Caenorhabditis elegans: one gene and its partner. The protein of the gene in region 2 interacts with the protein of the main gene of each other region in a pairwise test. Each region holds a gene or a part of one and is shown on either strand. Other genes may lie near its edges.

Region 1 (5,832 bases), on a different chromosome or scaffold from region 2:
ACACTACCTGTCAGTTCAGGATATCCTCTTGGATTCTCTTTAATATTAGGTATTCCAACTGATGTTCAGGTTTATCTTGGATGTGTTTTTGTTGGGGGTTAGTTTATTTTGAATTGGCTAACTAATGGTAATAGTATAATAAATATAAAACGTCTTATTGAAAACAGAAGCTTTATTATGTTTTCAGTTTCGATATGAATTAATCTAATCTCAATAACAAATTATTTGATTCCCAATTTTTTTGTGATGTCTTTGGCTTTTTATTTAAAGAAAACTTCGTGCCAAATTTTGGCAACGCACCTTTGACAACTTTCTGTCCAATTTCGGCAGTTTTCTGTCGAACCTTTGTAACTTCCGAGAGTGAGTAAGTTGTCAAGGTTTGAGAGAAAAATCCCAGAATTTTACAGTAGGTTGTCTAAGTTTGACCAAAAGTTTCCAAAGTTTGGCAGAAGATTGACTAAGTTTGTTGGAAGGTTGGACAGAGAACTGCCAAAGTTTGACAGCAAGTTCCCCAAGTTACGAATTTAATGTTTACTCTAGGGTTTTCAAGCTACTATTCCTTTTTAAATTATTCAATTTGAGAGGAACCGAACAATTCAATATATTTCAGTGATGTGCGTGGCTGTAACCATATTCTTCGAAGATCGCTATCACCGACTAATACATGGGCATACAACAAACGGATCACTGAACTGGAAACGTACCTTATATGTTGTATTAAATTATACTATATCAGTGACGTTTATTATTCCCGCATATTTAAAACTACCGAATCCTGAAGTAGCAAAGCAATATGTGAAAAATGTGAGTTTTCGTTTTTTTTTTGAAAGCTTTAACCAAAAAGTGAATTACAGATAAATCCATGTATTCCAAATGAAGTTCTCAATCGTCGGGAATATTTTGTATTTGCCACTGATAATACAATAGTCAATGCCTGTCTTTTGAGCATGTTCTTCATATGTCTTCCCCAAAAATTGTATTTTCTCGGAGCAATTTTTCGATACTTTTCCCAAACAGTGTCTCTCTCGGCAACTACTGCTCGCTTACAAAAGCAATTCTTCTATTCAATGTGTATTCAAATATTTATTCCAGTTGCATTCATCTCATTACCAGTTTCATATTTTGTCATGGCTTCGGAAAATGATTACTATAATCAAGGTAAAATTAAGCTGAAATTTGAAAAAAAAAATCATTTTTCCAGCTGCCACAAACATTGCGATGATTGCAATTGCATGTCATGGAGTTCTTTCCACTATAGTCATGCTTATTGTTCACACTCCACACAGGAAATCAATTCTTGCAACACTACATTTCAAATCTGAACAAGCTGTTCGAAATTCACAATTGATCTGGAAAACTGTAGTATCAAGAGCATGAAGTTTTTTTATTTATTTATTATGGAAACCAGCAGAGGGGAAATAAAACAAATAGTTAAATTATAACCGAAAGGTCATGTTTGATTAGAAAAATAATAATGCTTATTGCACAGAGTTGATCAGTTAAATCAAAAATTAAAAGCATTAGAGTCAACAAGTGGAGCAACTGGACGGCGTCTTCTCTTGGCAGCTGGCTTATTCCAAAGATGTTGTGGTCTTTTATGTCCTTTGACTCGTTCGTAAAGATTACACGGACTGAAAAATATGAGATTTAAAAAACTCAAGTTCAAAACTTTTACACCTAGAGAGCCCTCAAAAAATAGTGAAAAAAATTTCCACCAATTTTTTTTTGAAAATCGTCGATCAAAAAACAGACAATGCTTTGAATTTCTCGATAAGTGGTTAAAAAAAGAGTTTTTACTACTTTTCGACATGAATAAAACATTTCAAAAAGATGATAAAAAGTTTCATTGCGGTATCTGGTAACTTTATCAGCATAGGAATGATTTTTAAACATTTTCTCACTGACTGTAATCGTAATTTAAATAGAACATTCAAAATAATTCAAACTTACTTGCACTCAGTTTCTCCTTGCTCATTTCTCCTCCACAATTTCGTTTCCCGACATCCACAATTGGAGCACGAAGAGTTGATATGCATTGTGGAAATCTTCTTGATTTTATTTTTCGAAGCTTTTCTAGCTGGCTTCCATTCTTGAACTTCTTGAGCTGGAAAAAAGTTGAAGCCCCCGTCAATTGGTATCTCTGGCATGGAATTTTCATTGTTGTCGGGATTGGTGTGGTTGATGGAAGTTTGAGATTGCTGGAGGTCTAAAATAAATTTAAGATTAGGCTGTAAGTTTCATAGTTAATTATACCATTAATAGGCGTCGTGAATTCAAATTGATTTGTAAAATCAAAATTTTGAACTGGAAATTGAAAATCAGGCATCTGTTGATAGTTTTCATCTGAAACATTAATTTTAAATATAAAAGTAAAATAAAATAGTTTTTTAAAACTCACTGTAGTATCCTGCACCATTATCTGGTTGCATAAAATTCTGTTGCATTGAATTGTCATAGCCTCCATTGTATGAATTTGTCGTCATATCTTGTGCCGGATAATGATGATAATTCATATTCTGGAGGACATCTGGAGATGGTGTCCCGTAGCCTTCTTCATTGAATTGGACTTGTTCGGGAAACTGAGGGAATCCAAAATCAAAAGACATTGGTGAGTTGGAAGATGAAGATGATGAAGAGAATGAGTTCGAGTACATGTTTATACTTTGAATGAGAATGCCTATTCATTTATCTTGGAGCAAATCATGGTAAGAAGAGGGCGTGCCTCAGCGTTCCGTATACTTTTCAGCAACCGCCTTTTTCTAGAAGAGACACAAGGCGGGGTGTGCTTTGAACGTGGTATACTTTCAGCTATTCATCTAACCGATTATACAATCAGTGTATACTCTTTTGTCGGAGCCATCGGAACACTTGGAACATACTTGTTTGGTATACTTTTACTTCTTTTTTAATTTACCGTGGGCTCTCTCAAATAGAAGTGCATCTCGGATTTAAACTAAAAGTATTTGTTTCATAAATTTTACTTCAATAAAATTTCCATTTTAAACACAAATTATCATTCGGAAAGAAGTTTTTCACGTGCGAGAGTGAAAGAGTAGAGAGAAAAAGAGGGAATTTGAAACACGTGAAATTTAGAGAGGTTCTGATAGGGGAACAATTAAATTAAAATACACGTTTGCATTTTAAAAGATCACATGAATAATACCATAACACGTTGCTCTTGTTTTTTATTTTTCCAAAAACTCGATTCTCTCCAAATCCAATCATTCACAATTTTAACGGAACAAAATTTTTTGTAATTGCTGAAAGAGAAAACTGATCCAAATTAATTGAATATTTATTAGATAAAGTTGTGTAAAGCTCGACATGCTTGTATTTTCTTCTTCTTTTTCTGTTCAATTCTCAACCAACAAATATTTTTGGTAGTTGAGAAATCTGCGTCAAATTACCGCTATTCCCGTAGATCTACGAAGATCAAACCGATATGGGACACTCTGACACCACGTGGGATATACTGTAGAAACTGCAAAAATTAATTGGCGACAGTACTATTTAAAGGAACACACGCCTTTGCGCGAAATATTTTTTGTTCGCGTCGAGACCTACACAGTGAGTCTCACCTTTGAGCCAAAAGATGCATTTCTCAAAATTAGGTAAAAAATGTTTGAAAAGTCCAAATTTCGTTTCAGTCAAAAGTTTGCAAAACTCTTATTTTACTTTGTGAACCCCAGAACACCCATTAACAACAGTTCAAAGCAGGTGAACAATTTCATATATCAAGAAAAAAGAAAAAGTATTCAACATTGTACAAAGAATCAATATTTTAGTAGGACTGAAGTTGGCGAAGTGAAATGAATAAAAGTTTTGACACGGATATGAACTAGAACAAGGTTGAAGAGAAATGCAAATTGTACAGAAAATATGAGAAGGGAAATAAATATACACTAAATTGGATGCTATGAGACGGTGCAGTTGGAATTGGAATTTCTTGTTTGATGCGGCGGTGCAACTCGATTGTATTCTTCTTGTTGTAGAGAACGAGCCAGAGCTTCATCTCCCTGGAAACATTTGTGATTTAGTTAGTTGTTTTTTTGAAAATAGATACAAACCTCTGTTCTTGCTTGTGCGGAACATGGATTCATTCGGGAACGCGCGATTGATGTGATTCTGGAAAAATACCTTGAAATTCGATTTATTCAAAACAATAAACTTACGAATCCGTCCAGCTCTTTTTCTGATTTATCTTCATTTCGCCAACTTTTCGCTCACAACTGTGATCCCGCTCGTGTCTGTGAGAAAGGCAGTAGTTGTTTCGACATTTTGAGCAATTCATGGCTACCAGCTCTTTCTTCTTGCATTTTGGGACGGTACACGCGTTTGAATATACTTTTGCACGTTTCGGAGTCTGACAATTGTTCTGAATGTGCTCATTGACCTGAAAAAGAAACAATTTTTATCAATATTTTTGCAGGAATAATTTCAAAATAATTACTTGTTGATCAACATTGACATCTTTCGGCGTTGGAACTGGCTTCTCACATATAGGACAAATAGGAACTTGAACGGACTGAAATTTAATAATTTTAATCTAAAAAAAGATTTTCAAACACTTACAATTCTTGAGCCAGTCGGACAATTATGAGCCTCAAATGTGAAGTGCTCTGAGCAGTAGAAATGTCCACAACCGGAGCATTTGATTGGAAGAAAATCTGAAATAATTATTTTTTTATTTAATTAATTTTTTTTAAATGTTGACTTACCAAGTCTGTTGCAAACTGTGCTCTCACAGTGCTTTCCGAGATTTGGGAACTCCGCCATAGCTGAATAAAGCAAACGATATTGATAGGAAACGAGAGAATATAGACTTTTAAACACAAGAAATGATGACAATTGGAAAAATTCTAGAATTTACCAGAAATGCCAGACATCGGGTTACGAAATTATTGATTTTTATATATTATTGAAAGCTTTTGGACTTTTTAGAACGAGAAAAAATTGAATAATTCAATTTCAAGATTTTTGAAATCAATATCAGCTGATTCGCTAGAAAACGTGACGCTTTCAGTATTTCGTGACGTCACTGCGTACAGCTGGATTAAAGGCGCATGACATTAAACGTGCGGTGGGTCTCACAGCGAAACCGCTTTGCACCTCCTTCTCCCGCTTTTTTTGATTTTCGTCTCTCGCATTTGTCCCAAAACCTTTCATCTTTTTCTGTTTTTTCTTTCTAAATTCGATTTTTCGAACGATTTAAAAGTTGTTTTTCCCATTATTTTTCCCCCTTCTTGCACGGTGTGACGCAAAATACTCACTTGGTTATTTTGGCCCCACTTGTGTTTTATAGGGTAAAACAACCGAATTTCGTCGAAAATTTGGGTCTCTTCAATCCGTCCGTTCTCGTTTGCTACTCGTTTTCTCAGCGCTGCGAATCAATTTAAAACTTGTAATTCGTCAGCGCGTGCTTCTGTATCAAAGGAAGACGAGCCAAACGAGAGGTCTACTAATCGAAGTCGATATTTATTTTCGCAGCAGCCGTTGCACGACCAGAAGTTCGCATTTCAAACTCATATAAAAAAGACAATGGGAGACAGAGGATAGTAAGTTGACTTATCGATTATTGACGTGCATAATTGTTTTTCTTTTTCAGCGGAGGTTCTAGAAGCTATGGAGGAAGCAGCGGTGGTGGATCCCGCGGAGGATATGGAGGTGGAGGCCGTGGTGGCGGCGGCGGAGGATACAGCGGTGGTCGTGGTGGTGGATATGGAGGAGGTGGCGGTGGAGGCTACGGAGGAGGTGGTTATGGCGGCGGTGGCCGTGGAGGAGGTCGTGGAGGATCCAATGGTTCAGCTGGAGGACGCCTTCGCGATGTCGACT
Region 2 (7,133 bases):
TGGATAGTGTTTTCAGATAGTTGAGCCTAACAGGGGTAGGAAGTCAAAGTAGTCTTAGGCGGCTTCAGAAAGAGACGAATGCCATCTGAATTCAGGGGTGTGCGGCAAATCTCCTTTTCCAATATTTGCCGAGCTCGGCAAATTCGGCAAATTTGCCGTGCCTTACAAACTCCTAAAAGTTTGATATTTTTTAAATGTTTTTGGAGCACCAAGACTACTGAATTCTTACCACACATATGATTTCTGAATAAGATGGTGTATCTGCTTGAACATCAAAATAACTATTCTGTATCATTTTACTGAATTTTTGAAGGCAAAATCAATAGTTTTGATCAAAATTGTATTGTAAAATTTTTGATGTGTGCGGCAAATTTCGAATTTTGTCGAGCTCGGCAAATTTAGCAAATCTACGTTTTTTGAAATTTGCCGTGCTTGGCGAATTTGGCAAATTTGTCAAGCTCGGCAAACGGCAAATTCGGCAAATTCGGCAAATTTGCCGCATACCCCTGTTCTGAATTCTTATGTTAAGAATAGTTAATTACGAACGTTTTATTGGAGGAATTCAATTTTGAACAGAGCCTAGATATCCTTTTCATAAAGCTTTCAGATTGTTTCAAAAAATTTCTATAAAATCGTATTTTGGGGCTTTCTATGAAAATATGTTCTGAAAAAAGTTTAAAACGCGTTTACAGTCTAAACAAATTCCACTAAAAAGTGAAGCAATTATACCGCAAATTAAATATCAATTTAGGCTGGTGTTGTTTCGGAGCAGCTTATTGATTATTAACAAAAATTTTCCCGTTTACATCTAAAAGTGTCAGTAATTTTTTCGCAATCCCTATTATTTCTTTAATCGATGGTGAGAATAGCATGTCAGTTCGGAACCCGTCTTACTACTTCCTATAAAAAATTATGTTTTGATTAAGTATTATCACATGAGAATATTCATTTAAAAACCGTTCTCTGCCCATAAATTATTTTCTTGGACGTACATACATTTCCGTGCAACTTGGTGGTCACACTTTCAAACTGTAGTCCACATGTAGTCTCATGATCACAACATTTTATTTTCCAGAGCGCCAAACACGAGGAAATGAAAGAATGGGTTCTTGCCTCATCAGTCGATGATGCTCACGCAAAAGAGCTAGTATATGATAAGCGAGGAGTCTTCGAAGCTTCCCTTAAAGATAAGAGAGGTACGGCCGAACCGTGTCTAGTAACTGGCTATCCGGTCATTGAGAGTACAGTTCGCATTGGAAGTATGGTCGCCGAAAAGGACAATTTGAACAAGTACGTTGATTTTTGATGGTTTTCGATCGACAATCAATTCATATACAGTATCCTAACCTCCATAGTGTTTTCTATTTCAGGTTTCTCGTTGTGATCAAGTCAAATCAGACGGAGAACCTACTGAATGTGCAAAATTTTGTTGCGAAGTGGGCTGGATCGCCGTTGGCTATTTCGTTGTGATGCGCCATCACCAAAACTTGAATGACAATCATTTTATTTTTGAGCAAAATAAACAGTGTATATATATATAATTATGTAATTTTTTTACCCATGTCGTAAGCTCTTAACCAGATTTGTGAACCTAATTCCTCGCCGTCGTAAAGCGTCCAAGAAGGTTTTTTGTAGAGCCTGCTCAATCCTTTCAATAACTGAACAGTTCTCCAGTTGAACTCTTTCAAGTTGTGGTAGTGCAAGAAGGTGCCTGGAAATTGATTTATACACGTTTTTTAGCCCAGCGCAAAATTTTTATCAAAAAACGACGAAATAGCCCTAAAGCGTGCACACTTCCCCCTTGTAAAGGCTAGCGTCGGTGGTCAACCCATGTGCCTCGATAGCTCAGTTGGGAGAGCGTACGACTGAAGATCGTAAGGTCACCAGTTCGATCCTGGTTCGGGGCATTTCTTTTTTACTTTTTTGTTTAAAGAGTTTTTATTAATTGTACTATATTTTACTTTCTATTAATTGTACTACTAATTGTACTGTGTCATAAAACAAGATAAATTCTCATATCCCAAAAGTTTTTGCACGTGCCAATATTGTGGCCCCTTACCCGTAAAAAGCCTGCACTTGCTCTTGTGTTGTGAAAAGAAACCCGTTGAAAGCAATCTCTTGAATGTGTGGGTGGCATTCGATGAACTTCATGATAAGATGGGGAATATCCGGCGAGGACAGACGTACGTTAAACTGGAATTGCGAAGATGATGAATTGCATTGAAATTTCACAAACTTTGTAGTCGAACTTACTTTGGCCTTGACACATTTTGTCAAATAAATTTCGTTCTCGAGTAAATATTGTAAAACTTTGGACACTGTCTCCTTATTGCAGATGATTGTGAAGTTGATCAAGTTTCGGAGAGTACTCGCTGGGATGGTCTCGTTTCGCGAAGCACAACCTGGAAATGAACGGTGTTATTGAAAAACGTAGAAGTGATTTCAGAGAAAAATTTCGAGTATATTTTTTTGATAATCTCTCTACATAGTTACAAAGGTTGGACACAAATTGGCTTTTTAGTGTAATATCCATTAGCATATAAATGTTCCGAATTATAACTTCACGATATCTATTTTTATTATTTCCTTACAAAAACCAACCTCTTCTTGTAACATGTGACGGTTCCCAATTAACCACTTTCAATTTTTCTAGCGATTTGAAGTAAGTCAGCCCCATGAGCACATCCTTCCCCATCCATTTCCGCTCTTCACTCTCGATGATCACACATTTTTGCAGATTTGGCAGAGACTTTCCCAACTGAAATTTTTCGTTTTCTCTTTTTTTGTTAAAAATCTCGAGAACCCCCCCCCCCCCCCCCGTCTCACTTTTATCATATCACTCATCGTGAAAATACACGGTAAGTCAGCAAGCACTAGTTTCCGTAAACCGGGTAAAAGATCCATGAAATTGATCATCTGAAATAAGTGATAAGAAACAAAAACATTTAGCAGCGTGTGTGTAATGATGGAAAGTGATTTATCACCTTCGTTGGATTGAAATGGCTTCCATTTTTTGTCGTCTTCTCATTTTCAAGACTTTGCATTCCAATATGAGAACGATACAGCCGGAAATCGAAAGTTCTCGTCTTGGTAAGCACATAGGTTCCGACGTCGTAGTTTTTGCTTGATGTCTGCAAAGAAGTGGCGGGTGAAAGTTGAAAATGAGATTGAGTGAAAGATAAGATCGAATTTCAGACCAAGAAAAAGTATGACGACACAATGTAATCTGATATCTCCCGAGTTTCTACGAAATTTTCTGTGATTTTTTTTGAGACACTTTTTGTTGCAAGTTAAAAACACGAATTCTCAAATAGAAAGAAAAAATAATTCCCAAAGTATGCTCGAAATAGAAATACATTTCATTACATAATACTCTAGGGTTTTTTTTCACTCTGAAGGTAATCTACTAATATCACAGCCTTTGGCCTTTTTGGCCCAAAAAAACCGAATTTTACAGTCAGAAATGTTGAAAATTTCCAGTCTTGAAAATGAGCAATTTCAGCTACAATTTGGTGTTTTGCCAAAATGACTTCATCACCGGAGTTATTTTTTATAACTACGGTTATACTTTTCATGTTTGCTCAAACATGATTAAAAAAATAATTATGGACTAATGAGTGCCAATCAAAATAAAACTTTAGGCCGCTGCGGCACTGACGGTTTTTGCTTTTAAACTGATTTATTTGAAGACTTATGTCATGAGAAAAAGCTTTTTTGGTATCATATACTCCTTACTTCATCTTTAATGGGCAGAAATTAGCTCCGAAAATGTATAATTTGATAATGGGGCTTCTCGAAATTTCAAATAGGAGAGCAAAGTTTTTTTTTATTAAGATACAATTTTTGAGATTTTATTCACTTGGCTGTGCCGCCGGAATTTCATTTATTTTAATTACTGCTTTGTTTTACATTTTTCTCATTTTTTAAATCGTCGAAGTTTATTAAGAAAAAAAAATTTATTTTAATAAAAATAATAATAATTTGATTTAAGGATTTAATTTGCAAAAATGTTTAAATTATAATGTGAACTTAAAAAATTTTTAATACTAAATTTTGCGTTACTCATGAAATACAAATTCTAAAAATCATTACTTTTCAATTAAAAAAACATTAAAAACTCACAGCTCTAAAACAAATGCAATCCGTGTAGTCACACTCATCTAGAATTATAACTTTTACTTCATTTGGTAAGTGCTCCATATCCAAATTTTCTGAAATATGACCACCACGTTAAGACATGATGAAAACCAACAAAAAAAAATAAATTGGTTAAAAAAAGAAGATGGTGAGAAAATGGAGCAATGGACAAGTGAAGAAGATACGACAGAATTCATCAGCTGACAGAGACGCAGATAGGTTAAGAAAAAATGAGCATTGAGCACAAGAAACGCAGGAGGAAACTAATATAACATGGCAATGATGGAAGCACCCAAGAACAATTATAGTTATGAGTCCAATTGGATTATATGCAAATTGGCAGGTTGCAGGCTTAAGGAGGATAGAGCAGTAAACAAAAGGTGGAAAGTTTGTTGACAGGCATCTGATTGACGGAAGAGAGTTGAGAGCAAATAGAGAATATGAAGAAACGATCTATTGATATGTGTTCTCGAGGTAGGTTAACAGAGACAAGTGAAAGATAACAACACAAAGAGCACGTTGTTTCTGTGATCTTGGTTTTGTTGTCATTGATAAGAAATTATAGTAAAAGAGAAGAAATTTGGTAAAGTAGGATCTAAAAGCATTTTACATATTCTAAACAATTTTTCCACATACCTAGAGTAGTTTAGAATAAATTGTTTCCAGTCTTATGATTGACTTGAGTGCTTGAGACTGAAATAAATTTAAGTTTCCTCATTTGTGATACTAAAATGTTTTTCAAGCTCGTTTTTTGTCATATTTTCAGAAAGTTCAAGTAGATATAAAAGGTGGTGTAGTCAATTTTTTTTATTACTTTATGAGACTCGAAATTGTCTGAAAACACCGATTTTTCATAATGAAACTTTTTGAAAATACGCCTCGAAAAAAAGTTATGGCAGCTCAAAAAACGACCTAAAACTAATAAGAATTTGAAATTTGGCCGACTTGTATGTCGCAGCGGTTTGAAACTAATTTTTTGAAATCGCTTTTTAATTTTAAATATACAAGTTAATTATCTTGACAAGTAGGTCAAATTTCAAATTTTAACTAATTTTATGTAATTTTTTGAGCCGCCATAACTATTTTTTTGAGAAGTTTTCGAGAAATTTCATTATGAAATTAGGTGTTTTGAGAAAATTTCAAGTCTAATAAAGTAGTAAAAAATTCGGCGTTAAAAACCTTTCAAATATATACCGCAAAAATTATTTCCAATGACATTTGCATTTATTCCTATACAAAACGACATCAAAATACAATGTTCAGGTGGAATTTTAAAATATCGTTCCAAAGCTCAAACAGTCGGTCACGGTGAATCTTGGAAAATGTTGAACGATTTGGGGTAAAGCTCATGAAAAAAAGTAACTGTAATTTATTTTTGAAAAAGTACCTAAAAGAAATAAATCCACTGAAAAGACTCTTTCGGAGCAAAACTTCTATTCTCACAATGAACAGTTTTGGAATTGAGCTCAAAAATCTGACAGAAGAATATAGATTTCTTCTATTGATATGGCTGCAATACTATTTTTCGATGGTCTTCCCGCTTGCAATACTAATAGGGAGTGCAAGACTATTAGGGAGTGCAATACTAATTTTCAGAACATTTTCTGACTTTGAGCTTACTAGTTTTTTCCTGAAAAAAACGCGAATCATATGTAAAAATTCAGAAAATTTGATTTTCATATAAGTTCAAAAACTTCAATCTCGTAGAAATGATGTGAAAACTGTTGGAAAATAGGCAAAAAATGTTGTTGAAATCCTGAAATTAGCGAGACGGGTTTGCAATACAAAAAAGTTAACGCAAGACTATTAGAGAGTGCAAGACTAATAGGGAGTGCAATACTAATTTTCGGAAGGTCTCCGAGGGGCAATACTAAAAGGGAGTGCAAGTCTAATAGGGAGGCCATATTAATAGAAGATAATCGGTATGTTTTCTAGTGCCTAATTACGTAAAAATTAAGGATACACTTCAAAAGACCCGAATTTAAACTCTCGAATCGTTAGCAACAAGTAACTGTTTCAGAGAATTGATGGAAAAGTGAAACGGTGTCGGGGGGCGAGGTTGTCTGAAAGTGAAAACGATTTGGTCACTCACCTTGAAAGACAGATAAAGCAGATAAGAGACGAATTACTCAGCGAATGGATAATTTCAAAGTCAGATGTTATCTCATTTCCTTCATATATTTTACCCCTTTTCTTTGGCAATGAACTGTGAGTGTGTACTTGTTGTAATACTAAAACTGTAACGTAGCGGGAAAAATTCAAATGTTGAGATGTGAATGAAGAAATACAAAACAAAAATGCGAGCAAAATTTATGTGATATTTTTTAGGATGTATTTTTTTAATTGAAAAGGCAGACGTAATACCTAAAATTATTTACTCATTGGGGAATTATTATTTTTTTACGGCTGCCATTTTAGCCCTATAGGATTTGTAATCAAAAAATATAATGCCTTTTTCGTTATTTTTCCTTATTCCTATGAGAAATTAGTCATATTCCACAGTATATTTTGTTGCTTGTAGCTTTACTCTGCCCTCTGAGCAGCCGACATCAGTTGAGGTCTGCGATATTCCACTCATACTCCACTCGTCTCCTGTCATCTAAATCTCTGTAGAATGACATGACAGTACTACAGTACTGAATAGAGGGATAATGTGCACCTATTTCGCACCAACTAACCAAAACTTCCCCCCTATCCCCCTGACCATAATCCTTCCCGCCATCACAACTACTGGAACTAGTGTTCATCTTATGTTTCTTGGATTGGCTGGTCGTGTGTCTCTACATCCTTCAAAGTCATAATTGCTACAGTAACCAGTTAAGTGAGTCGAGAAACTGAGAGAAAAAAAGATGGGCGTACAAACGGCTACTATAAAACGTGCCAAACGATCACTTTCCTTATTTTTTGACAGCTGGTGATTGATAGTCTGTTGGAAAACATTGGTTTTTCATGTTTCTTTAATGTTAAAATTTAATATCGGGGAAAATCTTGGGAAA

The links.
Region 1: the proteins of K08B5.2 (region 2) and end-3 interact in a two-hybrid assay, tested with the Caenorhabditis elegans proteins (one large-scale study listed by BioGRID).

What each region holds. Positions count from the first base shown.
Region 1 is NC_003283.11:14,011,523-14,017,354, reverse strand, and holds end-3 (GATA-type domain-containing protein), read right to left. Parts: upstream 2,661-5,832; 5' UTR 2,655-2,660; coding exon 2,399-2,654; intron 2,344-2,398; coding exon 2,254-2,343; intron 2,207-2,253; coding exon 1,951-2,206; intron 1,632-1,950; coding exon 1,505-1,631; 3' UTR 1,378-1,504; downstream 1-1,377. Other genes in the region: srh-308 (Serpentine Receptor, class H), read left to right, coding at 1-97, 611-804, 855-1,158, 1,202-1,377; aip-1 (AN1-type domain-containing protein), read right to left, coding at 3,915-4,016, 4,068-4,125, 4,173-4,393, 4,451-4,525, 4,573-4,667, 4,719-4,776; ddx-17 (RNA helicase), read left to right, coding at 5,539-5,555, 5,606-5,832.
Region 2 is NC_003284.9:16,549,677-16,556,809, forward strand, and holds K08B5.2 (F-box domain-containing protein), read right to left. Parts: upstream 4,212-7,133; 5' UTR 4,201-4,211; coding exon 4,123-4,200; intron 3,132-4,122; coding exon 2,985-3,131; intron 2,917-2,984; coding exon 2,827-2,916; intron 2,759-2,826; coding exon 2,602-2,758; intron 2,403-2,601; coding exon 2,254-2,402; intron 2,194-2,253; coding exon 2,060-2,193; intron 1,908-2,059; exon of another isoform or gene 1,833-1,907; intron 1,712-1,832; coding exon 1,555-1,711; 3' UTR 1,491-1,554; downstream 1-1,490. Other genes in the region: Intraflagellar transport protein osm-1, read left to right, coding at 1,076-1,290, 1,371-1,470.